Oryctolagus cuniculus: one gene and its partner. The protein of the gene in region 1 binds, or shares a complex with, the protein of each later gene. Links are inferred from orthologs where the notes say so. Each region holds a gene or a part of one and is shown in the gene's direction. Other genes may lie near its edges.

Evidence for each region.
Region 2: the proteins of DROSHA (region 1) and DGCR8 are in contact, whole or in part, in a crystal structure (PDB 5B16), measured with the Homo sapiens proteins. The link is inferred for Oryctolagus cuniculus from reciprocal best matches to the Homo sapiens genes DROSHA and DGCR8. Residues at the interface, in NP_001369437.1 of Homo sapiens: Leu984, Leu987, Phe988, Thr998, Tyr999, Thr1001, Ala1002, Ile1003, Gln1005, His1008, Phe1069, Asp1073, Leu1074, Glu1076, Val1077, Trp1078, Asn1080, Pro1082; in NP_073557.3 of Homo sapiens: Asn728, Ile731, Leu732, Lys734, Leu735, Gln736, Glu738, Met739, Lys740, Leu742, Ala743, Arg746, Arg750.

Annotation. Positions count from the first base shown.
Region 1 is NC_091445.1:57,616,426-57,619,930, reverse strand, and holds the end of DROSHA (ribonuclease 3), read left to right. Parts: intron 1-1,887; coding exon 1,888-2,018; 3' UTR 2,019-2,910; downstream 2,911-3,505. UniProt on the Homo sapiens protein: Ribonuclease III double-stranded (ds) RNA-specific endoribonuclease that is involved in the initial step of microRNA (miRNA) biogenesis.
Region 2 is NC_091452.1:27,757,856-27,761,506, forward strand, and holds part of DGCR8 (microprocessor complex subunit DGCR8), read left to right. Parts: intron 1-3,059; coding exon 3,060-3,202; intron 3,203-3,348; coding exon 3,349-3,631; intron 3,632-3,651.

The DNA of each region.
Region 1 (3,505 bases):
TGGTGGGATGATTTTTAAATATTTATACATCTATGTAATATACATATACATTTACATTTATATATATATGTGTGTGTGTGTGTGTGTGTGTGTGTGTATATATATATATATATATATATATAGTATGACTTTACCTCTTAGGAAATAGGCTGTAAGGATATATCCTGAAAGATTATCAGTAGTTAGAGCTGAGAATGAGTTTCTTTTAAATGCAAAATGAATTTTATAGTGAAATTTCCTGAGGCAATAGGGTCCATTTTATAGAAACTTGCTGCATTATTTTTATTTTTATTATTTTTTTAATTTTTTTAGAAAAAGTACTTGCAGTGTTTGAAACTTATGATTTACACAACATGTGAGGTATCAATGTATTTAGGAGGTAATTTTATTTCAGAAGTAATATAGATGCCATGTTTCTCTTTTGTTTAATAATCACTGACTCTCAGGCATACAAGAGTTTTCCTGATTGACTGTCTTTCAGATATGTTTTCTACTACCGTGTTCCTGGCCCTTCAGCCTGGGATGAGGAAGGGACACTCCATTAGAAGGGGAAGGGGGAAATAATGTAGGAGCATGCTATATGTACAGATCCACTTTCATTATACCTCACCTTTAAAACAAACTTGTTTTCCCCAAACATGTCATGTCTCCACCCATCTCTGGTTCTTCTTGTGTTTGAATAGCCCTTTATCCGATAAATAGTATCATTTTTCTCTTTGTGCTCGAAGGCAGTGTGTGTAGTTCTTACCCATGTATGCATCCCTTTTTAAAAATATATTTTTATTTATTTTGAGGGGTAGAGTTACAGAGAGAGGAAGAGACAGAGAGAAAGGTCTTCCATCCCCAGATGGCCACAATGGCTGGAGCTGAGCCCATCTGTAGCCAGGAGCCAGGAGTTTCTTCAGTTTTCCCATGCAGGTGCAGGGGCCCAAGCAGTTGGGCCATCTTCTGCTGCTTTCCCAGGTCATAGCAGAGAGCTGGATAGGAAGAGGAGCAGCCAGGACACAAACCGGCACCCATATGGGATGCTGTCTGTTTAAGTAGGTGTTTGTTGACCAGGTATACAGAAATGGTTATTTCTAGTTCCATACTTGATTTCTTTCTTCACTGCTACATGAAAGTTACACAGCAAATGACAATGAAATTGTGAAATTTCTCAGTCTTAGTGAAGACTTCCATTGTGTCAACAGTGTTGCGCGGGGTCAATCTCAAACTAAATATAACTTAACCTATGTCATGGAGTGCAATGTTTCCTTTAATTGAATCAAATTCTCTACTCGAGTTGCTTGTGCAGTATAGCTTTCAGCCTTTTAGGGCAGACTTTACAAATAGGGTGAATTATCAAACAATAAATTATAATGTGGCCTCCTTTTGTCTATCTGATCTTTTTTTTTTTCTTTTCTTTTTTTTTTTTTTTTTTTTGCTTTTGTCAGAAACTTTCTTGGTAAATCAGAAACTTGGTAAATAATGGTGTGATAATACCATTATTTGTTTGGGTTTTTTATTTGAGCCCTTCAAAGATGTGCAACTGTATTTTATGGCATCCTTTCATTTTTTCTTGAAACTCACTTGTTGCTAGGAGAAACATGTTAATGCACCTGGTTGGAAACATTCCAACATCATACATCTATGATTTAGTGCCTTTTCTCTCTCAGGTTCACCTTAGATATTGAAATCTAGAATTGGCCAGTCCAGACTACCAGTGGGTTCTGAATCACAAAAGAACTATGGAATAAAATGAGGCTTTTTTTTTTCTCTTGTCTTACAAAATTCAACTGTATACCTGTCACAGAAGTTGGTGTTTGCATGTGTAGATATTTGGTTTGCATCATTCTTTGCACTAGTGGCTACCCTTTAATAAGTGTAAAATATATCTCCTTGTGCCAGATAACTTTCCCCAGATGGCCCATCAGAAGCGGTTCATTGAACGGAAATACAGACAAGAGTTAAAAGAAATGAGGTGGGAAAGAGAGCATCAAGAGCGGGAGCCAGATGAGACTGAAGACATAAAGAAATAAAGGAGGGCACGGAACTGGTGGTGTGTTTACTTGCCTAATAACTGTGACTGCTGCCCATTGAGACCTAGCCTAGTTTTCCTGCAGACAATGAATGAAGTGTGCCCATTGAAATAAAACCCAGTGTCAAATCACCATTGTTGTTTTACTGGTCTAATATTCTGTTGTTAGCTGGATGGTCTTTGTTACAAAGTGTTTTATTTCTCTTCTGTTTAATGGAAAACTTGACTTCGGTGGGTATGCGTTTTTCCCTTTTATTTTGCTTTCGAACAATAAAATTCAAGAAAGCATATTGTCCTTGGAATAGATCCTGTATTTTCTCACTGTCTCAGATTGTGAGCCCAGACTTTCAGCTGAGAAGTGAAAAATTCACTTTGTCAGGTATTTTGACTCCCTTCTAGAAATCTTTGGATTATTTGCTAGATTTTCAGCTTTCATCTGGATGTTTGTCAAGTTCTCAGCTGCATATATTGAATTTACCACTTTCCAAGCAGTGAGTCCTTTGTGGAAGGAATCTGTTTAAGGTTTAAGTGGCTAATAGGCGCGGGGGAGGACTGATGTTTGAGTCACACATGTTCTTTGAATCACTGGAATGGGGAAGCAGCCATGATTCTGAGTCAGACCCCCCTTTAAACCTGGAGTCAGCAGGCCCTCTATGAAGTTTAGACTGCAGGGATGTCTCAGAACCTCATGAAATGCTATTCAATTGTATGTGCCTGGTGGGGACTTGGGGAGGGGGGAGCAAGTAGAGGAGGGGTCGGCACTTTGATCAGCTTTTCTAAGTGACCCCTGCAGAAAAGGGCTAACATTACATCAAAGATGTAACATTTAAAGTGAAACATTATTTTAAATTAAACATCATTGTTATTAATAAAGGCAAAACTTTGTAACACAACTGTGTTTTCATCCATTATTTCTGCAAGCACGACATGGGCCTACTGTGTATCAGGCACCATTCTAGGCTCTGGGACTCCTTGGTGGACATAAGAGACAAAACACAGTGCCCTCGGGAGCTTGTGTGCTGCAGCAATACCCTCAGGGGAACCAACGCGGGGAGCTGGGTGGGTGCAGTATGCTCTGAACCAGAATGAGTCATTCAGGTATACGGGAGACTGTTGCCTGCAGAGCTGTGCATTGTAGAAGATTCGGACAGTGTTATTACTTTTGTTAACAGGAAAAAGAAACAAATGACACCTTTACCATCGAGGGATAGGAAGAACACATAACCAGAAAAATAAATCACTCATGATTGCATCACCCAGAGGACTTGTCTACCCTGTCAGGCCTTCTGTGCACATACGTATGTCTGCACAGGCACTCAAGTGTGTTTAACATGTGGTTCCCACTTTCATGGACAGTGCTGCCACATAGATCCTGGAGGACGGACACATTTGAGAGAAGACCTCTCCATTGTTTCTTTTTTTTTTTTTTTTTGACAGGCAGAGTGGACAGTGAGAGAGAGAGAGACAGAGAGAAAGGTCTTCCTTTTT
Region 2 (3,651 bases), on another chromosome or scaffold:
CGTGTTACAGGGCGGGACTGGCAGGGAGAAGGCAGCCAGGCCCAGGACACACAGGGGTGTGTGGCCCAGGTGCTGGACCCGTGAGTGCTGTGGGTGACAGAGTGGTGGGCGCGCTACAGAGGAACACGGGGGGTTTTCTGATGGGATCAGGAAGGGAACCCTGAGGACAAGGCTGGCGGCCCGTGGGCCTGGAGGCCGAGCCAGAGGAGACGGCAGGCGATGGCCGTGCTCTGAGTGCTGCCTCTGCACCAGGTGTTGCGGAAGCCACCAGAAGTAGGCAGACGCTGGGGCCTCGCATTTGCTCAAAGACATTGCTCCTGGGGCCATGGTGCGGCGAGTGCGGTTCGGGCGGGCTGGTACGGAAGCGCCGTGGAAGCCTCAGCATGGGGTTGGGCGCGGTGGGGAGCGCAGTCGGGAGGTATCTGGAGTGGTACGGTGAGGCTCCGTCATCGCTGTGGTCAGGTGCAGGTGGAGGCAGGGCTGGTTTCTGTGGGCTCCTGGAGGGACCTCTGAGGCATCCTGGTGGAGGTGACGGGCTCGGTAGAGGGCTAAAGAGATGGCGTGGGTGCTCCGGCACACGGGTGAGACCCCTGGCCCGGGCAGCTACAGAAGGTGGCAGGGACGACTGGGGAGGACAGTGGGGGAGGAGCCTCTGAAGGGATGAATTGGCAGCACCGGGCACGGGCACGGCCGCTGCCCATGGGTAGCAGTGCAGCAGGGGGGGATGGGGACAGGCAGTTGCTGGTGCGGCAGCTTCTGGGCGAGTGCCGCAGGGCCTCTTCCTGTGTTTCTGTCGTCTCACTCTCGGCAGGTAAACCTGCCTGCCTGGCACGAGCCGCAGCAGGGCCTCACCCTGGTGGCCGCTCCAGACAGCTCCTCTTCACCGAGGAGTGGCCTGGACCAGCTGTGCTCTCGTGTTGTATGTGGCTGTGCATTCTGTCAGCTTTTCTTTCTTTTTTAAAGATCCATTTATTATTCATTTATTTATTTATCTATTGATTCAAAAGGCAGAGTGGCAGATTGAGAGGGATAAAACAGAGACAGATCTTCCATCTGCTGGTTCATTCCCCAAATGGCCCCAACAACCTGGGCTCAGCCAGGCCGAAGCCAGGAGCCAGGAACTCCAGCCTGGTCTCCCATATGGTGGCAGGGGCCTAAGCGCTTGGGCCATCTGCCGCTGCTTTCCCAGGCACATTGGCAGTGAAGCTGGATTGGAAGTGGAGCAGCCGGGACTCCTACTGGCGCCCATATGGGATGCCGGCGCTGCGGTGGCGGCTTTATCTGCTGCACCTCAATGCTGGCCTCTCTGTTGCTGATTCTCCTGACTTAGCTCAGAGCTGCTGTAAGCTGGCGCCTTCTTGGTCCAAGCCCATGGAGAGAGGGCCCCATGTGTACGTGCACTCCTAGCCTGCAATGCTCCCTCCCAGGTGTGGCAGCTGATGCAGCCTCTGTGTAGGTGTGAACCCAGGGTCGGACCACTGGGCGGGGAACCAGTTTGCAGTCACTGACAACCGTTTTCATCGCGTATATTTTCTTTTTTAAAAGACTTATTTATTTGAAAGGCAGAGTTACAGAGAGGCAGTAAGAGAGACAGACAGACAGGTCTTCCATCCACTGGTTCACTCCCCTGCCACATGGCCATGACCGCTGGAGCTGGGCCAATCTGAAGCCAGGAGCCAGGAGCTCCTTCCAGGTCTCCCACGTGGGTGCAGGGGCCCAAGGACCTGGGCCATCTTCTGATGCCTTCCCAGGCCATAGCAGAGAGCTGGATCGGAAGTGGAGCAGCTGGGACTTGAACCGGCGCTCATGTGGGATGCCAGCTCTGGATGTGGTGGCTTTACCCAGTATGCCACAGCACTGGCCCCCATCACGTACATTTTCTTAGATTTCACGTGCTTTTTCCCCCCTTTGCTTCTTCATTTTTAGTTACTGCCAACCCTGTGAGAAGATTAGGTTTTCAGTAAATCTCTCTCTTGTGCTTTTGCCAGCAGTCAGATCTTCCGGTGGCAGGTGGCAGGTGAATAGTTACTCATTTGAAAGCTTTTCTGCACTACTGCCTGCTCAGTGAAGCAGAGGGTGGGCCCGGTATCTTACAGCTGACCTCAGGATGTGTTCGTGTCTTTTAAAAGCACTTTGGTGAGAGCGTGCCGCTCAGTTCTGATAGGCACCTGTCACCTGTCCCGGACAGCGGACACACGCTCTATTAGCAAAGCTCATCCGGTTCCCAGGGGTGCCTCTGCCTACCAGAGAGGTTGGCAAGGAAATGGCTCGGTCTGTGGTGCCTACCAGATGGAGGCTGGAGCCAAGGCTGGCCTGTATCTGGCACAGACCTGTCCCAGGGCTCCCACCTTGCACCACATGCTGTCCTAGGCCAGAGGGTACAGTAGAGGAAGCAAGGGGGACAGGGACAGTAAATAGGCAAACGGACAGAGCAGTTCTGTGTGTGGAGGCACCTTGGGGACAATGCTAAGTGCTTTTATTTATTTCAAATTTGTGTTAAGGATCTATTTGTTTATTTGAAAGGGAGAGACAGATTTCCCATCTGCTGGTTCACTCCTCCAGTGGCTACATTAGCTGGGGCTGGGTCAGACTGAAGCCAGGAGCCCAGAACTGTCTTCCACCCCCTTCACAGGCGCATCAGCAGGAAGCTGGACTGGAAGCCGAGCAGCTGAGACTCGAACCAGCAACCTGATGTGGGATGCTGGCCTTGCACGCAAGCAACTTAACCCGCTTTGCCACAACACCAGCCCCTGCCTGTTTTTAAAATTTTTGCTGATTTTTGTTTATTTGAAAGGCAGAGAGAGAGAACCCACCTGCAGGCCCACACCCAAATGTGTAGAACGCAATCCCTGTCTTCCATGTGGGCAGCAGGGACCCGAGCCCTGAAGCCGTCACCTGCTGTCTCCTTAGCAGGAAGTAAATCAGAAGCGGAGCCAGGACTGCGCTCTAGCCAGGCACTCGGATCTGGGACAAGGGCTCGCTGTGCCGTGTCCTGACGCTGCGCCGGATGCCTGCTCCGGGTGTCCATACAGCCATCAGGGGTTCTTGTCTCCCTGCAGGTCGTGGCCGCCCTCCCACAGAGCCTCTCCCCGACGGCTGGATCATGACGTTCCACAACTCCGGAGTCCCTGTGTACCTGCACAGAGAGTCTCGGGTGGTCACCTGGTCCAGGCCGTACTTCCTGGGAACGGGAAGCATACGGGTAGGGGAGACATGAGTCGCACTCCCAGGCTTGTGCACCATGCGCCTGCTGCTCTGTGGTGCCACGCAGAGGCTAACAAGAGGCCTTGCGTTTCTGGATTGACGGGGTCGTCCTTACACTTCCTGTTGCCATCTCGCTGTCCGCAGAAACACGACCCTCCTCTGAGTAGCATCCCCTGTCTGCACTACAAGAAAATGAAGGACAATGAGGAACGGGAGCAGAGCAGCGACATCAGCCCCAGCGGGGAGGGGTCCCCCGCCAAGCCCCTGAGCCGATCCGCGGAGCTGGAGTTCCCCCTGGAGGAGCCCGACGCCATGGGCACCGACTCGGGGCCCCCAGATGAGAAGGACCCCCTGGGGGCCGAAGCGGCCCCCGGGGCCCTGGGGCAGGTGAAGGCCAAAGTTGAAGTGTGCAAAGATGAATCGGTGGGTAAGTTCCCGAGAGTGGTC